2 linked regions of the Rhinolophus ferrumequinum genome follow. The protein of the gene in region 2 purifies or fractionates together with the protein of the main gene of each other region. This does not show direct contact. Links are inferred from orthologs where the notes say so. Each region holds a gene or a part of one and is shown on either strand. Other genes may lie near its edges.

Region 1 (9,693 bases), on a different chromosome or scaffold from region 2:
GTGGGAACGGTTCGGCGCTCCTCCCCTGGAACCAAGAAGCCAAGTCCCGGCTGTCGGCCAGCCTTGGCTTCCAGGAAGGAGAGGGAGTGGAGGGGCCCCTCCCTAAGACAGTTCGTTCTTGTCCTGACGTCCTTGTGACGTGGGACCATGCTACAATGTTAACTCCATGGACTCTGCGACCAGAAGACACCACTGCCTGGACTCTCCAGGGGACTCCGTTTCTGGTCAGTGGTTCTAAATCCTCACCCCGTCATCCTGCTATCAAGACCTTTCTTCGTGACAGTAAGGAAAAAAGCGCAGATTCCTATCTCAGATCCATGCCTGCGAATCTAACCCTCACCACTAGGGTCACAGTTCTAAAAACGGCAAACTGTGTCTCAAACTCCCTCCCAGTCACTCTGACTCACTGAGTGTTTCAAAAACAAACGTAGAGAGCTGGAAGATACAAGAATCAGCTGCTAATCCTAGGAAGCTGACGTCTCTGTCCTCCTGCCCTGAGCCCAGGGACTGTGGCTGTGACGTACTGGTGTGAGCAGGGAGACTGAGGCACTGGAGTAAGGGTGAAGGGAGTGTAAGCTGGGAGTCAGCCAGCACAAGCGGGAGTTACTCAGGCTGCAGGACATCGCTGCTGGACAAAGCAAATCCAGATGGTTTAAGTCACGTGTCCCCTGCCACATCCGTCCATCCTCCCAGCCAAGACCATCTTGATAACCTCAAAGGGCCGCTCCTCAAAACCCTCCTCCCCTGGGGTTTTGGGGACTGTAAAGAGGCCAAGTCCCAGGCTAAAGCACCCCAGGTCCTGCCACAGGCCGTGCTCGCCCACACCTGTAGGTAGGTCTTGTACTCGATGAGCTTCTCGGTGCCGCGGTGCAGCAGCCCGATGTGAGGGTCACACTTGCGCACCATCTCCCCACTCAGCTCCATCACCAGGCGCAGGACACCATGGGCTGCTGGGTGCTGGGGCCCAAAGTTCAGGGTCAAGTTCGACACCAGTGTGTCCTTTGGAGGGTCCACATCTGAGAAGTGGGAAACAGTTGAGAGTCAAGGGGTAATTCCCTTGAGAACCCCCACGAGACAGCAAGGAGTTTCCCGTCCCTACAGGTCTTCCATCTCACCGTGCTGTACCGTAAGTACCCTAATCTCCACGGTGACCAGGAAGACCATGGATGGGAAAAGGGGGAAGGGAGATCTAAAGTGATGGGAGGGACCATGAACCCCCTTTCTCCATGTCGCCCAGAATACCTTTTGGAAAGGAACAGTAATAACAGATAACATTTATATAGCCCTTATCGTCTACCAGGGACTACTCTAAGAACTCTGCTTACTTTCATTAATTCTCACAACAACCACAAGTACTAGGTACTATTAGTAAGCCCATTTTATTGGTGAAACTGAGGCTGGAGAAGATAAACGCTTTCTCACAGGGCTGGTACACGGCAGACCCAGCACAGAAGTCGGCCTTTCAGCTCCAGGGCCCACACTCTTGACCACTAGGATACACTATCCTCCAAAGGTATCTGATGGACGGCCAACCAATCAGGACATGTATTGTAATTCTTACCACTACTAATGACAGTTCTTACCCTGAAGAAGCTTCCAATTTCATTTGGGAAATAAGTACATGTGAAAACTAGTAACACAGGTCAAATTTACAAGGTACCAATGAAGTGGCTTAGCCATCAATGTTTAAAGGAAGGAAAGAACAACAAAAAATGTTAAAAAAAAAAAAAGAAAAGAAAGAAAGAACAGTGTGAAGACTCCATGGAGGCAGGATCTGAGCTGGCTCTTAAATACAGGAATGATTCTGAGAGACAGTGAGAAGAAGAGACACCCAGGCTATGGGATCCACACGGGTCAATCTTAGAAACGAGGAAGTATCTTCCCTGTCAAGAGGCAGAAGATTAGTGACGGCAGGCGGTGGGGACAGTAGCATCACTAATAACAACACTAAGGGAGACACACAATGTGCCAATCGCTACAGGAAGTGGCTTATGTCACTATCTCATTTGACCCTCACAGTAACGCAATTAAGTGGGCACTTCATTCACTGCTAAATGAAGAACCAAGATCTGAGACCAGAGGCGAGCGTTTCAACGCAAATTCTTCACCATGGACTCTGGAGTCAGACGGACTCAAGAACAAATCCACCTGTGCATCCTTGATCAAGCTGTACTCTCCCTGCACCAGAATTTCCTCAAAATTGAAATAATACTGGTGTCACTTCCCCAAGGCCTGCAGTAAGGACAAGTAAAACAATGCATACAGACCACTTGGTGCATGGTAAGCACTCTGCTGCTTTTACTATTAAGTTTTTGAAAAGTAACTGAAGTACCTTTGAAGGTTTTTGAGCATGAGAATGAATGACACGGTAAAATGATTTGTTGGGGACGCTGAAGGCGGGTGACACTGTATAGGACAGCTGCAGGGAGAGCAGATCAGTGGCAGGAAGCCAGGGAAGAGACTCCTGGAAATAATCAAGGTCTAACACACAGTAAGTCTGAATAAGAAAGAGAGAGGTGACTAGATGTGAGACATTAGGAAAGAGCCGCGTGGTTTGGTGATTTGCCTGCACACAGACATGGAGGGCAGGAGAGAGAACAGAGCCGAAGGGTGACTAAAAGTCTCAACTCTGAGAGAATGGCAGAGCCACTGATCATAACCAGAAAGTCAAAAGGAAAGCTGGGTTTTGATGGAGTAAGAAATGTTTGTATTCAGGAAGTCATTTGGGTTGCCAGTGGGAAAACCACCCTGTCTAGCAAGGGAGATGGAAATATACTGAACCTATGGGAAAAGCTGAAGCTAAACATAGGAATTTGGTAGGGACCTCCGAGGGTTGGCTGTGACCTACGCTTTCTTTCTCCTGGAATGTTCTTCCTTTCCTTCTCTACTTGACCAAATACTATTACCACTATCATGTTTGTTGACTTGCATGATGAAAACAGAAAGGGTGGGAACTAAAACTTGCCTAAGATAGAGCACTCAAGAACACAAAAATCAGGTTGGGACAGGGGCTCTGGGCACTCACCATTCCAAGGTGGAGGCTTCCAGTGGGCTGTTTCCTTGGTGGGGTACATGACGGCTCCCCGAACTGCTCTGCCCACTCCACATCGGGCTGCCACTGCCGAGCACCTCTAGGGAGTTAAAGAAGACACCAAACACCGGCCTGAAACAGTGCCTGTTCCGTTCGCATCCCCTTAGAGACAGGCAGACACCAGGTGAGGCTGCCTGGGATTCCTCAATGCCGCGAACCGACACACAGTTAGTGTTGCTTCGGCACAAGCTGGAACTCCACAGGTTCCACTCCTAACAACTTAGTCCCAGAATCACTTCACCTATCACCCCCTGTGCACGCAGGCTGGGATGCTGGCTCCTTCAAATCCCCGCCCTGGACAACATGAATGCAAGACAGGTGTTGATTCAAGGTCAACTGATGTGAGAGAGAGAGAGAACAGACGGGGTCCTTGGCTCAGCTCAAAGACGGCCCGAGTGCCGCACTGGGAGTCTCAGGGTCTCAGTTTGCGCTCCTCATCGAACCCCATCAGCGGGCTTTCCTCTTGGCCCACAGCGTCTAAGGAGAGCTTCACCAGTCGCACCCCACCCGTGACGGGGTTCAGAAGCAAGAAGAGCATAAGGCAAGGTGACACCTGATTTCACCCGGGCCGAAACCAGCTCAAGACCCTCTCCCCTCCGCCACAGCGGGGCGCCAAGCACCTGGATGGAGCCCGAGACGGCAGGCCTGGGCGAGGGTTTCACGGGCCCGGGTCATTCTTTCCTAGGGGGCACAGGGCCGTGGAGTCCACAGCCTTGGGGACAGCGCGTCGACGGCTGCCCCGGGCCTCACCTGCTGGGCTCGAATAGGTAGCCGGCCCAGCCCCTGGCCGCAGCACCTGGGCCGTGACGCCCCGCAGGCCGCACAAGCCCTCAGCGCCGCCATCTTGCCCGCGGCGGACGGTGGGAGGAGGGCCGGGCGGAGGAGTTCCGCCGCGCACTTCCTTGTGGGCTTCTGGCCCGTCGGCACAAATGCGGCCCGCCATCTTGAAAGCTGGCAGGGTCGCCGACCTGAGCCTGACAACATCCGGGTTCTGCGCCTCGGCTTCACTGTGGCTCAAATACCCGGGACCTAGGGAAGCTGTTCCCACCGCTCCTGACCGTCTTTCTAGGCGTTAGCCGGCGGGAACTTGCTACTCGTGCCGGGGCAGCCAGGCCCCTCGCGCGCCCCTCACCCTTGGACTGTGCCCGCTCCCCCCCGCTTGGCCGCCCCGGCCCTCCTGGGTGGCCCCAGGCTGTGCCAATTACCTCCCGTTCCCGAAGCCAAAAGTTTCGGAGCAGGGAAAGCCAGCTAATTTCCAGATGTCCTAAACGGGTCAGGCAAGGGGACCCAAGTGGGGCCGGCGGGGTCTTAGCTCCGCCAAATAAAAGGAAAGAGGAGGAGGCCTAGGCCCCCCGCATGGGAGCGGCCGCGGGGCGTGCGGGGGGGGGGCCACCTCACCCCCGAGAGGCCGCGGGCCTTCATGGGTGACCCTGATGTCCGCCAGGCTCCCAGAACCTGCAGAATTGCAGCCTCAGGAAGCGCCCTAGACATGCCTCACACCCCACTTCATCCTGGGTCAGGCCCTCCCCTCCACTTTCTGACCCTGACCCTGACCCTGAGCCTGCCTCAGTCCTGGCCAGTGCCACAGAAATGTAGTCACCACCAGGAGTCGGAGCCCAGTTCTGTGCGGACGAGGCAGACTTTTCCAGCCTTGGAGGCCAGTTCCGGTTCTCTGCCTCTGCCTCCAAGCCCAGCTCCAGCTGGGCCACCCGTTGAGTTTGCGGTCCCTCCCACTCGCACTCCGCCTGCCAGAAGCCTTCCCCAGATCTCCCCCGCACAGGGTCCCCGGACCCAGCCCACCGGCGGTGCAGCAGGGTGGGGCAGACAGACCCAGGAGAGTGGCACCCTGGGAATTCTCAGCTGTGGAGAAAGAGGAGAAAGCCAGACTTTTAGCGGGAGTTGACCTAATGGGAACAGTGCCAAAGCGCGGGGGTCATACCTGGCTCTGGGAACCGAGGGGACCAGGGTGGACTGGGCAGCCCCCTTGCCTTCCTGCCCCGACTCCCCACCCTCCCCTGGGCCTTGTCCCCCTCTGCATTGGAGCTCAGTAAGTGTGGGTGATGGTGACTGGGGGGGGGGCTGCATTTATTTGCCCTAATCCTGCCTGAGAGAAGTCCGTCTAGACTCGGGCCTGCTTGGCCCTGAGGGCGACTTGAGCTGGAACGAGGGTGAGGGCCTCCTGGGGGGGCTGCCGAGGACAGGGCATCTTTTGTGCCTTCTCCCTGATGCCAGCACCCCCCCCACACACACTGCTACTGGCAACTCCAAGGCCCTTTGTCTCTCACTGCTTAGTCACCCCCCTTTGTCCTCTTCTCAGATGGGGGTGGAAAGGGGCAGTAAGAGTCCTCGTGACAGCGCCTCTTGCCCCTTGCCCCTTCTGGTCTCCCATCCTTTGTCTAACCCTCCACTTAGGACCAGGGTCAGGGCACCAGGCAGTCACAGGGGGTGCTGGACACAGGAAGCAGTGGGCACTGGAGCAGGTACTAGTGGACCTGAGCAGGAAGGGCGGGGGGAAAGGAAGTGTCCTGGTGGATATGATGTGGGGTGCAGGAGGTGACAAGGCAGAAAGCGAATAGACAAATGGGGCAGGGGCAGGTGGTCGGTCTCCGGGAAAGGAAGGGGACTGCTGACCAGCACTCCCCTTCCTGGGGATATCCTGAGGGAGTGGCCTGTAGCCTGGGGGGAACAGACATTGCCCCTACTTCTGAACCCTTTACTTCCTTGCTTGCGAGACTATCCCCAAGACCTCTTTGCTGAGTCCTCCTCCAGTCCAGAACTGACGGAGTCATTTTGCTTCCTTTTCCCAACACCACCTCTTCCTCCCTGGGGCTCTCTCCCATCTCAGGCACCGGTTCCTGTTTCTGTTGCTGCCTAATTTCCCTGTATTCACAATGCTGCCTCCATCCTCTCCCTGTCTAAGGGAAATGAGAACTAGAGGATGACTAGATATTCCCAGAACGATGGGTTCTCAGGGCAAGGTGGAGCCAGACTTGGGAGCTAAGTGGGGATTCCTCAGAGGCCCGGCACTGGGTTGTGTCTGGGTTCCTGTGCTGGGTGGGCTGGTGGGAGGCTGGAGGAGGGCTCTGGTTAGGAGCCGGGTAGGAGAAGGGCCAAGAGCCCTGGGGGGAAGCTACTGGGCGCTGGGCCAAGGAAAATGGGGAGTCAGGAAGTGGGGAGGGGGAGCCCTGAGGGGAATGGAGGCGGAATGGCTGTCCCAGGCTTTGGAGGGGCAGATAGTGGTTACTCAGTAAGGGAGAGCCTGAGTGAGAGAAGTTAGAAGTGGTACCACCCTGGACCCTCCTCCTGGGAAGGGAAGTCGTTACCCCTCCTGCCTGGCATGGCCTCTGCCCGTTCCCAGGTGTGCCCGTTTGAAGCTGACATGCCCTACCTTTGGGCAGTTTACTCCCTGATCTCTGCCTCCTGCTGGCCTGTCTCACACCCTCCTGCACTCTTTCCTGCTGCTGGGTCTCTGGTCCTGACAATGCTGAGCTAGCTCCTTTCTTTGTTCACCCTCTTGAGGCTTCTACCCTCTCTCCTCAGCTCTGGAAATCAGCCCCTAGGGGCAGAGGGCAGCCTGAGGGAGCCCCAAGAAAAGGGAGGCCATACCAGAATTCTCCTGGGACCTTGGTCCTTTCTGTGCATGTAGGCCAGGCCCTTTCCCGGACTTCCTACCCTCCTGGGGCTCTGTCTACCAAATAGGGAGACAGCTGAGAGCTGGCTGTGGGGTTTGGGCAAATGCCCTGTCATCAGCTGGCCCAGCGCCTATGACCCTCCATTCGGCTGCTACAGGCCCCCCTCCCTGGGGCAAGTCCCATTTTTCTCAACGGAAGACAAAAGCGAGGTTTTTGGGAAGGAATGAGACACCCATCTGAGTCCTACCAACAGAGCTGCTGGCTGAATGGCTTCCAGCTCAGCCAATCACAGCGCCCTCAGGATGCTTAAAGAGCTGGGCGGGGAGTGTGGGAAGAACCCACAGGGAGACCCGCAGACACATGGACGGGGAGAGAGAACAGGAAAGAGACAGAGACAAAGGCACAGAGGCGAAGCCAGGGTCTGAGGGCGTACAGAAGGGGAGGCCAGAGAAGCTGCAGAGGACGAGGGTTAAGGAGGAGCCAGGCCACTAGGCACCTCTCCCAAGCCAAGGGCTAAGTCTTCCCTGCCTTCTCTGAAGGTCCCCAGGGGCCCTCTACCAAACCCTGCCCCTGACCCCGGCACTAGGCCCAGCCCCAGGCTGCAGAGGAGCTTTGCAAAGCCAGAGCGTGAAGACTGGGTGGCCGGACAGCCTCAGGCCCTCCCAGCACAGCCAGCTGTGCCATGTCCCTGACAGACGTGCGCCCCGGGAGGCGCTTGGCCGACTGCTGGCTGTGGGGAAGCCGCTCCCGTCCACAGCTCCCCACACTGCCCGCCGTCTCGGGCTGGTGCTGCTGCTTCTGCTGGTCTCCCTCCTGCCCTCAGCCCAGCCGGCCCCCTCCCCCGGGAAGAGGAAGAGATCGTGTTTCCAGAGAAGCTCAACGGCAGCGTCCCGCCTGGCTTGGGCATCCCTGCCAGGCTGTTGTGCCGCTTGTCTGCCTTTGGGGACACGCTGCTGCTAGAGCTGGAGCAAGACCCGGGTGTGCGGGTCGATGGGCTGACGGTGCAGTACCTGGGCCGGGCACCCGAGGGGCTGGGCGGGGCCGAGGCCGGCACCTACCTCACCGGCACCGTCAACGCAGACCCGGAGTCGGTGGCATCTCTACACTGGGACGGAGGGGCCCTGTTAGGGGTGCTGCAGTATCGGGGGACCGAACTCCACATCCAGCCCCTGGAGGCGGGCACCCTGAACTCTGCCGAGGGCCCTGGGGCTCACATCCTACGCCGGAAGCATCCTGTCAGCGGCCAGGGCCCCATGTGCAACGTCAAGGCTCCTCCTGGGGACCCCAGCCCCCGCCCCCGCAGAGCCAAGGTAGGTCACCCTGGGGTCCGTCCGGCTGAGCCCCGGGTCCGCTGGGCACCACTCTTCCTCCTTGACAAGCCTGTCTTGGGACAGCTCTGGCTTCTCCCTGCCTGCCCCTGCTCCTGGCCAGTCCGCTGACCCCAAGGAGGGTTCCCTGAGGTGGGTCAGAGGCTCTGCTGGGAATGAGCCGTCCCGCCCCCCCGCCGCCCCCCCAGCCCCTGCCTGACCATGGCATCCTGCTGCCATGGCCCCTAGCTACAGGCTGTCCTAACAGCCCCTTGGCCTTGACTCTTTCCTGTGTCCACATTTGATTTTCACCCTGCCCCCCGACACACACACCCAGCTAAAGAAATGAGCGTTTAGGCCCAAAGGGTTGGCTTGTGGTGCTGCCTTCTAAACTGTCCTGGCCACCTGCACACCAGGGCAGGAGTGCCCAGGGAGGAAAGGCGTCCCACACGCCGTGGTCCGTCCGCTCCCACAGGCACTGATTACGAGGCTGCCTGAGGCTCCATCCTTTACTCCCCCCACCCCCAGCTTTAATCCAGACCAGACGCTCCCCACACCCGCCACGCTGAGATCTGGCCCGCGCCTGGCTGCTGACTGAATTGTTCCTCCACCACCACACAGGGCAGACACGTTGCGGCCCAGCCCTCAAGCCCCAGTCACACTCAGGCCTGGGGGCCCCAAGGCCCCTCCCAGCAGCTTTTCACCTCTGGGGCCCAGGCGGCCCTCTCTGGGACGTGGCACCCCCTTCTCCTCCCCTCTCTGAACCAACAGCTGTTTTCTCAGTTACCACATTTTGGGGTGGGGGAATCAACAGGGTGTGCTCAGGGCCAGCTGGCTCTGCTGAGCTCCAGACCCAGAAAGAAGGGGGGGTGTGACCCCTGGTGTGGCAGGCAGTCTCACGACCCTCTGTCCTCTCTCTCCTAGCGCTTTGCTTCCCTGAGTAGATTCGTGGAGACCCTGGTGGTGGCCGATGACAAGATGGCTGCATTTCACGGTGCAGGGCTAAAGCGCTACGTGCTGACAGTTATGGCAGCTGCCGCCAAGGCCTTCAAGCACCCAAGCATCCACAACCCTGTCAACTTGGTGGTGACTCGGCTGGTCATTCTGGCGCCCGGCGAGGAAGGACCCCAAGTGGTGCCGAGTGCTGCCCAGACCCTGCGCAGCTTCTGTGCCTGGCAACAAGGACTCAACAGCCCGGAGGACTCTGACCCTGACCACTTTGACACAGCCGTTCTATTTACCCGCCAGGTGAGGCCCTGCCAGCACCACAGGCCACACACCGCACGACTCCCAGAAGCACCCTGTGGAAGGATTTAAACAGTGCCCCTGGAGCCGTGCAGGGTGGCGCCTGGCCTGCCCACACCACTGACTCTGTCTGGGCCCCGACAGTGCCCAAGTCCCCACTGATCTGGTCTCAGCCCAATGGACTCTCGTGTCTTGCTCCCTCATTTATCTTCGATGATCCCCCTCCACAGGACCTGTGTGGGTCTCCACCTGTGACAGAAACCCTGGGCATGGCTGACGTGGGCACCGTCTGTGAACCCAGCTCGGAGCTGTGCTGTCCGTGGAGGATGACGGGCTCCAGTCGGCCTTCACCGCTGCGCATGAGCTGGGTAAGGCGGGGGTGGGGCCATGGGACGTCTGGGATGGATGATGGGTGTCA
Region 2 (10,392 bases):
GCAGGACTCTAATGCTACCTTAACAGTTTACTTGGTAATCTCTATTGTTTCCTGGTTTTGTTTTCCAATGCCTCCAAACACTCTGAATGAATTTAAATATTGCTAGAGATCTTGCCTCTTCAGAGAACATAAACTAATATTTCTAATACTTCAACAAATACAAATAAAACAATCGATGCACATCCACCTGTCCCACCCAAGCTGAATCCTAGCATTTGTGCTCTGTATTTCATTCCTGTTACCTAGTTATGCCAATCATTCATTCCCTTTTCCTTTCAACTACACCCTGCCTACTGCTGCTATTTGGTCAAAATACAAAAACACTGTAGTCACCACCTTTAAAAAACACACACCATACCCAAAACCAACACTTCCGTTATGACTAGTTTCCTTCTTTTAAGTTAAGCTTTAAAAGAAAATGATCTTTTGATCTGGATGTGATATCTCATCCAGAGGATTATATCTCAACCCAGAGGACATTTTTCAGGCTTTATCTGAACTCACTACAGCATCTGATGCTGAGGACCACACTCCAACATACCTTTAATTATGTTTCCCTTTGGTTTCCATGCCATCCCTCTCCGAGTTTTCCCTGTCTCTCCAGTGATTTCTTCTTTGTTTTCTTTGTGGACTCTTTCCCTCAGTTGCCCCTTAAATACTAATGTGCCCCAAGTTCTGGCCCAGGCCCTCTTCTCACTCTATAAATTTCCTAAGTAATCCCACGTATTACCGAAACTTCCATTACTACCTATATCTTAATTACTTTCAAACCTCATTTCAAACCTAGAGACTTTCAGACCCCTTTCTCCTGACTTCCAGACCCCAATTCCCAAATGCCAAATAGGCATCTCTGCTTGGGTAATTTACAAGCACTTCAAAATCAACATGTCTAAAACTCAACTTATCCCTTTCCTCTGAAAACCCAATTCTATCCCCATATTCCCTATCTCAGTAACTAACACCACCCACTTCCCATACCCCATTGCAAAACTCAAAGCTTCTCTGATACCATGTTATACCTGACATCTCCCTCTCCCCCTCACTCATTACATCCAACCAATTACCAAATCCGATCAATACTGCCTCCAAAGTCCCTCTGAAAGCCATTTACTTCTCTCCCAGTCACTAAATCAATTCCCTATTATGAAACAAATCTAACATCACTTTCCCACATGAAACTCAATAACTTCCCATTATCATAAGGATAAAACCCAAATTCCTTAGCAAGACAAGTAAGGACCTTCAGATCACCCCCATCGGCCTCACTTCTCCCAAACTCATCCCTTACACTTTCCCCTAACTGTTGCTGAACGCTAACCATTCTCCAAAGGTGTCACATATTCTCCTACCTTTGCATTGTAACTTAGGCCTGAAACACTTTCCCAACTTCTTCACTTTCCAAAACACAAAGCTCCTCTTATCTTCCTATTCCCAGGAAGATCCTCCTTCCACTCCATAGACAGTTTTATTAAGATTTCCCTTCTGATTAATTCAACAATTCTCTCTTGATTAAAACAAACAAACAAACTCTTAGCAAATTGGAAATTGAAGAAAATGTCCCAAATGTGATAAAAGTATTTTTAATCAGCAACCATATCGTTTTATTATAATTAATGCTGAAACATCAGAAGCATCCTATGTAAGGAAATTACAGGATAGAATATCAACTTTCACTGTTATGCTAATACTATAGACAACACAGTAAAAATTAGGTATAAATATTAGAAAGTAAGAAAACAATGTAATTCTATGCCAATGATATGAGAATATCTTTAGAAAAATGAGAGAATGAACTGAAAAACTAATAAATAACCTAGCAATGTGAGTAGCTACAATACAAAAGTCACACACTTTCTGACATATTAGCAATAAATAGTTAAAAACTCAGGGTGAAAGAGATCCCATAGCAACAACCTTCCCTCTATCTCCCAAAAATTCAATAATACAAAGAAGTTAATTCTCCTCAAATTAATCTATAAATTCCAATTCAGCTACACTCAAAATCCAAACAGGACATTATTAAAGAACCTGACAATTTGCCTCAAGTTCATCTGGGGGAAAAAAAATGTGTCACAAGAGCCAAGAAACTTTTGAAAAGAAACAGAGGAGGCAGTAACAGATATCAACACACATTATAAAGTTCTATTAATTAACATAGTGTGATTCTAATGTAGAAATAGAAAGATAAATAAACAGAACCAATAAATCCATAATCAGAAACCATCCCTGATCCTCCAAATCTCAAACAGGGCCCCCAGATACACTCGCGTGCCTGTACTTCTCCTCCATAGACCTGTGAGTAATCGTGTACTTATGATTGCTCATCTGTTTAATGCCTGTCCCTCACAATACTATAAGCCGTGTGACAGCAAGGACTTAGGTCTGTTTTGATTATCACTACGTATAAAACACTTCTGCCAGGCATTTATAGATGGATTTAAATATAAGTTCCCATTCACAAAGTATTCTGTAATCTTGCTCCTTTTACATATCGTATCTGAACATATCCTTAAAAAACAAAAACGAAAAAACCCAAATACAACACTAAAGGAATCCCTGAGATTAGAACATACCTCAATTCAATGACGGGCGAGAAAATAGTATCAAAGCTCCCCTTCCGTAATTTAAATGGCAACCACTAGAAGTACCTTACCAAGTCCTACAAATTCTTAAATAACATCAAATACTTCACACAGTTGCATTCAATCAATACTTAAACGAGTCTGTTAGAATTTCAGTAAATAACCAATGAACCAAGGCATGTGTGTCTTGCTCACATCACTGTATTCTGGTTACAACTACACTGACGTTTTTACACTTGCAGGGCATCTCACTCTTTTACTATTTGCCACACTTTTCTTGACCATTTTCCTGGAGCCCCCAAAAGTTAAATTATTTATTTTCTTAATTAAAGTACACATTACCTGCACGGGATCTTTGGAATCAACATATACGTCTTTTAGTAATGACAGCAGTTTGTCATCTTTTCTAACAATGTCTCCCTTAATATCTGGATGAGCTAAGGAAAGAAAAAGAATGTCACAATATTAAAACCAACGAAAATTCTTCTACGATCCTAAACAATTAATACACGATACTTTTACGTTTTAAACAAACTATCGTTTGGGCAGTACGGAAAATATTTCACAGTAAATCAAAATACGGATTCAGGCTCGGCCTCCACCGTTCTGTGCAGACACCTAAAGAAACCTTCCGCTGCACACGATCCCTTCTCATTCTGATTCCCTCGATCAAGCAGCTAAGCGTTAAAGGCAAAAAGCCGGCTTGAACCGGACGGCAAGGGCACAGGTCTTCATCTCTGGGACTACCGAGAAAGCAGAGCCGCCGACTCCATGGCGAGCGCTAGGGGACGGGCTCAATGTCACCGGCCTGGTGGCTCCACCGTCCCGCGCTCGGCGGACCGAGCCCCTGCGGCCGACCCGCGTCACCCCGACCACGGCACCGACGTCCGCCGGCGGGGAACTGCCGAGCCGGCCCCGAGATCCCGCTCGCCCGGCCCCGACGCGCCCTCGCACCACTCACAGTTCATTTGCTCTCGCAGGAGGCTCTTGGTGGAGGGGTGCCTGGGAGCGGGGGAGGGCTTCATCTTGCTGATTTCCCGTTCCGCCCGGTTCTCTAGGTTGAAGTTCCTGATTGCGCGAGCCACCGAGGCCCCCATCTCCTCACAACATGATGCCCTCAGTTAACAACGCACGTGGGAAAATAGCCGTGTGGGCCACCTCCGTAACGAACCGAGCATGCGCACGCCTGGGGTCGAGCGGGTCGCGCGCCGGAAAGCAGGCGCTAAATGCGCGCCGTTTGCCCCCTACCGGTCGGGAGGGCACACGCCGCATCTCCGCCCAGACTGTATCCGAGGGCGTCCTGCCTCCGGGTCCAGCGACGAGTTCTTGCCTGCGGTTACTGCCGGGGGAGGTAGGGTGGCTCAGGGCTCAAATCCAAGGATGGTGTCACCTCTGGAGACTCATTGAGTCAGCAGGGGAGCTTTAAAAGAGTTACCTGCCATGCAGACTTTCTGATTTAATTCCTCTGGAGTGAGGCCCTGCATTGGTTCAGGCTTCCCACGTGATTCCAAAGTTGCAGGCTGAGTAGGGAAAAGTCGTAAAGGAAACTGACCTTGAAGTCCTTTCACGGGTCCATGCAGCGAAAGAGGAAGCCAATAAAAATGGAATTGCATCAGGATAAATGAAGGTCCGAAAATTGCTCTTTCCTGCTCTTGTGAAAGGAACGCAACGAAATGTATTCATTCTCGATGAATATTTGTTCTCTGTCACTCTGTTATTTAAATGCCCCTTATTTTCTTGTCCCCTCTCCTGCTTCATTTCTGAGCCACGGTGTTCCCTTTTTCCTAGATCTTTTACATCCCGCTGTCATAACTCATTTGACCTAATTTTATCGATTTTAGTTATGCTGCCCTTTCCTTTCTCTTTGTTTTTGGTACTAATTTGTGTTATTTCTTCACACTATTAAGTACTAAATCACCGCGTCATTCCCGTTTTTCCTGCCTTCCTCATTCCTTTTAAGCGAGGGAGCGGAGCCCTCCATATAACTTAATGAAAGGAATAGCCAATATGACATTAAAAAAACAAACCAAAAATACCGAGTTGTTCTCTCTTTTTTTCTCTTATTGTTCTCCACCCCTCTCCCCCAATTCTGAATGGATTACTGTGTTTCTGATTTTATTTAAGATTCTTTAGAAATATTGTCATTAATCCATGATACCAGGAAGTAGCAGGGTTTCCAAAGTTACAATATTTTTCACAGACTGGCTGCAAATCGGTTTTTAGTGTTCCCAGATCTGCTTAGCAAAATGAAGTTGGTTGTTTGTTTTTAATTAATTAAAAGCAAGTACAGAGTCCATGTAAAGATAATCAAAGTAACACATTTTTTAAAAGAATCAAAGTAAAGAAAGGGCAGTTTTATTTAAAGAAAACTAATATAATTAGTAAATATATTTAATCACAGCAAAAGTATTACAAGGAGAGTTGCTTCCACCGTTGATTATCTGAAACGTTTTTACTGGGCTAGTTATTTGGATTTTACAGAGGCTAAAACCAGTGTTCTCTGGTAGAGTTAGTTGGGAAGTTATCCTGAAGGTGGCAGGCTACTCCAAGATTTCCATCTGAGACAGACATGCTCCTAACTTGGTGCTTTTTCAGCTAAGTATTCATGTTTCCACAGGTGCCAAGAAATTTTCATCTGCCTCATTATGTCTGTGAGCTTCAAAAATTGTGGTAATAATTCCACTCACTGCCTATTAAAATACTTTGAAAGTGAAAAATTCATTCTCATAGATATTCCACCACACTTCTGGCAGCATGAAAAAGTAATGTTAGATAGAAGTTACAGGAAATGTAGGTTGCTGTGGGGATTACTGCATGAAAGAATTCCTTGGATTCCCACATTTAGGTAGAGTTTGGATTCCATATTTATGGAACATCCAACCGGTGCCAGCTGCTTTGCCTGGTCCTGCCTGGTGCTGCGCAAGCCTGCAAAGAACAGAACAGAAGGCAACATACTCCACCAGAAATACACAATTGGCCATCACCCCTTGGGAATCATCATGGAACTAAACCCTGAACCACAAATGCATAATTCTAGCTCCTCTTGTCAAAGCATGTGAATTAACAGGAAGTCTGAACTCAGAACTCCTGCGCTTATGTTAAGGGTTGAAGTCAGGTCCCCAAGGAAAGTATAACTGGAATGCTGCTCAAAATCAAGCGTCTCTCTGAGCAGAGTGTTTTGGTGGGTACAGATTGCTGAATATCTTACGGTACAAATAAAATAAACCCAGGGTCTTGTCAACACACTAGAATGTAAGTTCTATGAGAAAAGGAAAATTTGCTTTGTTCACGGCTGTCTCCATCCCATTGAACAGTGGTTGATACCCAATAGGAACTAAACAAATGTCAAGTAAGTCAGATAAACCCAAAGACCAGCCCGGCCCCTGAGCTGGAGTCCAGACGCTGAATACCAGCCCCTCCACCAGAAGTGAATCCTTATGACTGTCACTGTTGAACATACTTTCCTCATCTTAAAATTGGGATGATAGTTTTAATTATGTAATGGGTTTCACACCATTTAAAAGATAAAGTGTCTACTACAGTGCCTACCTCAATATGATATTCAGTATTTGTATTGCTTTCTATTTTCCAGAGGAGCAGAGAGAAGTTTGAAAAAGAACCAAAGATATTGTGACACCCTGGTCTATAGCTGAATGAAAAGGATAAAATACTTAAATATCTGAAAGTAAAGTAAGACCCATGTTCTTTAAGAATTTAATTTAAAAATAAGTATTCCAAATTTGATTTTTATATACTAATTTGTGTGCTCTGCACATGGTGGCATTGCTGGACTCATGAAGGTCAGAATTTGGGTGGGAATTATTAGCTCAGGGGCACAAAATGCCACCTGCTCTTACCTGGCATTGGCAGCAGAAATAGTCCCTAGCCGGTCGCCTCCGTGCTTCCCTCCCTCCTCCATCTTTCTCTCTGTGCCTACACTGTGACCTTTGCACACTCCTTCCCCTGAACATAATTCAACAGCATTCTGTATTCTCCAAAGAATTGCAATCGCTAAACCTAGGTGACTGGTGACTCAAGGAGCCCAGGACAGCCCCTAGAGATTTCACTGACCAAACCCCAGCTACTAGTGGGCAGAGGAGCAGACCGGGGAGGAATGACTCATCCTGGCAGAGAGCGCGAGGGCCTGGACTCCAGCTCAGGAACCAGGAATGAGTGAGAGTTCAAGTGAGGTCATTTACAACGTTCCCAGGCTTGACCAGTTAGTTACACAGTGGTCAGTGTTGTAGGTTTGTGGAATATTTGGGGAACAAAAACCCAAAGTCCCAAACCAAAACAAACTAGGCTTTGGGCAGATCCCGTATTCATATTGAAAGACACCAGGTCTCATAGGTAAGAATTATCAGTCAGCAATTTATACCCAGATGCCTGCTTTGTGGCTACTGCACTCATGACTTTTGTCATTGTATGAGTTTCCTATTAGTGCTAACAAATTACTGCAAAACAGTGCCTCAAAACAGAACAAAATTATTACCTTATATTTCTGGAGGTCAAAAGTCCAAAACAGGTCTTAGGAGGCTAAAATCAAAATGGCTGCAGAATTGTCTTCCTCCTGGAATCTCTAGGAAAAAATTCCTTGGGTTTTGCTTTGTTTTTTTCTGTTAGTTTTGTTTTGTTTTTTGGCTTCTGGAGGTCTGCAACACTTCTTGGCAGCCAGTAATTGTATAGCTTCACTGTCATATCTTCTTTTCTGACTGTGACTCTTCTGTCTCCCTCTTTCCCTTATAATACTCTTGTGATTACATTGGACCTAACATAAATCCAGGATAATCTCCCCATCTCAAGATCCTTAACTTAATCACATCTACAAAATACTTTTTGCAGGTTTTGGGGATAAAGAGGGAAATGTTTTTAGAGGAGCATTATTCTGCCCACCACAGTCATCATCTTGAGAAATTCGTATCTATCAGTGTAGCGATGATATGTAGTAAAATTCAAAGAAAGAACGATGGAGAGAATGCCTACTATTCTTCATTCAGCCCCATGGAGCTTATCTTCCAATGAAACTACCTAATTGTTCAAAGAATAAAACCGTCTTGCTTGGGCAATAGTATTTCAGGCTTTGCCTAGGAGCCATAGTAGCTCACAAGTAAACTGCTGCTACTTCACCAGATCTATGCACTGCACAGGGAGGCAATTCTTCCTATATCCCCAACCTCTCGTCCTCCTGGAGCACCTGTGTCTGAGAAGCCTCAGTGAGCAAGAGTGTGAATGTCCCTTGTATATAAAGCAGCATGACTAGTTTCCCTAATTACGGCATCTTAGACGTCTTAGACCAGAAGCCTACCATTTTTCTTACTCTTCTTCCCTCTCCATCATTTTCCTCTTGGCTTAGAATTTTACAATCACCCACCCATTCCTGTCTTTGTGTTAAGATTGTTTTCCTCTTCTCTGCCTGTATCCACCTTTAAAAGGGAAATACTCCTGGGGAAAGCAAGCCATTTGTGGAAGAGTTTATCAGTTTTCTGAACTCATGGACTGGAAGAAGATAGCTGTCTGAAAACAGGAAGAGAGAGGGGGAAAGTAGAAGCTATTGGGGAAAAATGGGAGATGAGAGAGAGAGGAAAAAAGGAACGAGAGACTAGAGTCAGAGGCAGAAAAGGGCATCTACAGCCCTTTCACGTCTGAGGAGGCTCCTTACCCAGCTCGTCTCCCTACAGCTTCTTCTGTTGACATTCTCCTTGTACAAACTATTTAAAAATAAACATCATTGAAAGAAATAATTATCAAAACCTGTGGAATACAGTCAAAGCAGTATTGGAAGAAAATGTATGTGTGTTTCTGTTAAATACATTTGTTAGAATACTGGAACAATTAAAGGTAAATGAATTTGAATTAGGCATTCATGTCAAAACACGAGAAAAAGTGTATCAAAAGAAATCCGAAAAAAAATGTTTAAAGGATTGAAGATAAATCAGAAATTAATTACATAGAAAAAAACCCCACTTACCGTAGTTCTTTGGAAATATAAAATCTGACAGATCCAAGTAAAAAACAAGGCACAAGTAAAGCCCCTTCGAATATTTTTGGAAAGACATGATCACAAATTTAGAGAGTCTTTTTTTAATTGAAAGAAAATGATATAGACAAGTTTATATACAACTTTAATATATAAACTTGAGTGACTCCTTGAGTGACTTGCTTCTAACCAATAGAATATAGCAAGTGTGAATAGAATAGAATAGAATAGAATAGAATAGAATAGAGCATAGATATAGGACAGAAGACAACATAGAATAGAATGTGGTCACCCTCATGATTATCTTATGTCAGATAAGACTCCGTCTTAGGAGACACGACAGAGTCTCCTACTGGTCTTGATGAAGCAAGCTACCATATTGTTACTGGGTCTTTCAGAGGCCTCTGCAAAGAGGCCACATGGCAAGGAACTTCAGGGCCATTTAGGACATGAGAGCAGCCCCCAGGTGACAGCTACAAGGAAATGGGTATCTGAATCCCACAACCACAAGGAACTGGATTTTGCCAACAGCCACATGAGCCCGCAAAAGGACTTCGCACTCTAGAAATTAATACAGCCCCATCAATACTGTATAATCATTTCAATTGATTCACAAAATATAGTTGCTTAAATTCAACACCCATTACTAATAATAGACTTAACCCGCTAAGAATAGAAGGAAAAGGTCTTCACTTGATAAAGAGTACATATCAACAAATCATAGCAAATACCATATTAAATGGTGAAATGTTAGAATCAGGCCTAGGAAAGCCAGTGCTGTCCACTATTGGCCTTATTCAACCTTTTGCTGAAGGTCCTAGCTAAAAGAACAAGAAGAGGAAGTAAGAATGATTCATTCTTTTGCAAAATCAGTAACTCTGTCTTCCTAGAAAATTTGAGAAAATCATTCAAAGAACTATTAATATTAGAACTTATAAAAGAATTCAATGAACCAGCTGTCCTACATATCAGTTAGAAAGCATAATGGCCCCAAAAAACTTCCATTGATGATGGCCACAAAAACTATTATGCACCTAGAAATAAACTTGAAAAAATTTGCAAAACCCAAATGAAATAAACCACAAAATCTAGGAAAATAGAAAAAGAAACACATGGCTAGATCTACCAGGTTCCTTCATGCAGAGTCAAGAATGTAAAAATGTCAATTCTTTCACAAATTAATCCATAAATTTGATATGCTTTCAATTGAAATTGTAAAGTGAAAAATGACAACAGATACTAAAGTTCATCTGGACGAGAAAATGAAAAAGTAGGCAACTAATTTTTGAAACAACCATGAGGAAGTACTTGCCCTGTAAGATATTAGAATGCAGTTTAAAACTTTACAGTGTAATCTTGATTCAGTAATTGGTAAATATATCAGTAAATATGATAGTGCCAAGATAGATCTAATTATGTATAGAGTGACATTTAAAATCACCCTATGATGATATAAGAATCTAACTCCTCCCAATCTCGAACAGATAGCCAAATTTTCAACCACATTTATTTACCCATCTGCCATTTACCCTTGCTCTCCATTCCAATTTGTCACTTGGTTCCTCATCTCCTTTCTTGTCTCCAGTTTTCCCTGCATCACATAGCTTTCATAATTTATTTGTCCCTCCACATCCCCACATTCTTGCTTTTTATAGAAGTAAGGAACATTTCATTATGGCTTTGTTTTGGTTTGATTCCAATGACGTAATTTTGTTCTGTTCATAGCAATTTAATCAGTACAATAATTCTCCATCTTGGCAGCAGCTATAGAAGGTACCCCATAGTTTGGCAAGGAAAAAAATGTGAAAAGTTATAAAGAACAAGCAAATACTA

The links.
Region 1: the proteins of NDUFAF4 (region 2) and NDUFS2 purify together in Homo sapiens (co-immunoprecipitation; 3 studies listed by BioGRID and IntAct, with this or other methods). This does not show direct contact. The link is inferred for Rhinolophus ferrumequinum from reciprocal best matches to the Homo sapiens genes NDUFAF4 and NDUFS2.

What each region holds. Positions count from the first base shown.
Region 1 is NC_046305.1:2,348,792-2,358,484, reverse strand, and holds the start of NDUFS2 (NADH dehydrogenase [ubiquinone] iron-sulfur protein 2, mitochondrial), read right to left. Parts: upstream 4,091-9,693; 5' UTR 4,076-4,090; coding exon 3,842-4,075; intron 3,132-3,841; coding exon 3,026-3,131; intron 1,017-3,025; coding exon 826-1,016; intron 1-825. UniProt on the Homo sapiens protein: Core subunit of the mitochondrial membrane respiratory chain NADH dehydrogenase (Complex I) which catalyzes electron transfer from NADH through the respiratory chain, using ubiquinone as an electron acceptor. Essential for the catalytic activity of complex I.
Region 2 is NC_046286.1:52,016,322-52,026,713, forward strand, and holds the start of NDUFAF4 (NADH dehydrogenase [ubiquinone] 1 alpha subcomplex assembly factor 4), read right to left. Parts: upstream 3,993-10,392; 5' UTR 3,680-3,992; coding exon 3,544-3,679; intron 3,020-3,543; coding exon 2,925-3,019; intron 1-2,924. UniProt on the Homo sapiens protein: Involved in the assembly of mitochondrial NADH:ubiquinone oxidoreductase complex (complex I). May be involved in cell proliferation and survival of hormone-dependent tumor cells. May be a regulator of breast tumor cell invasion.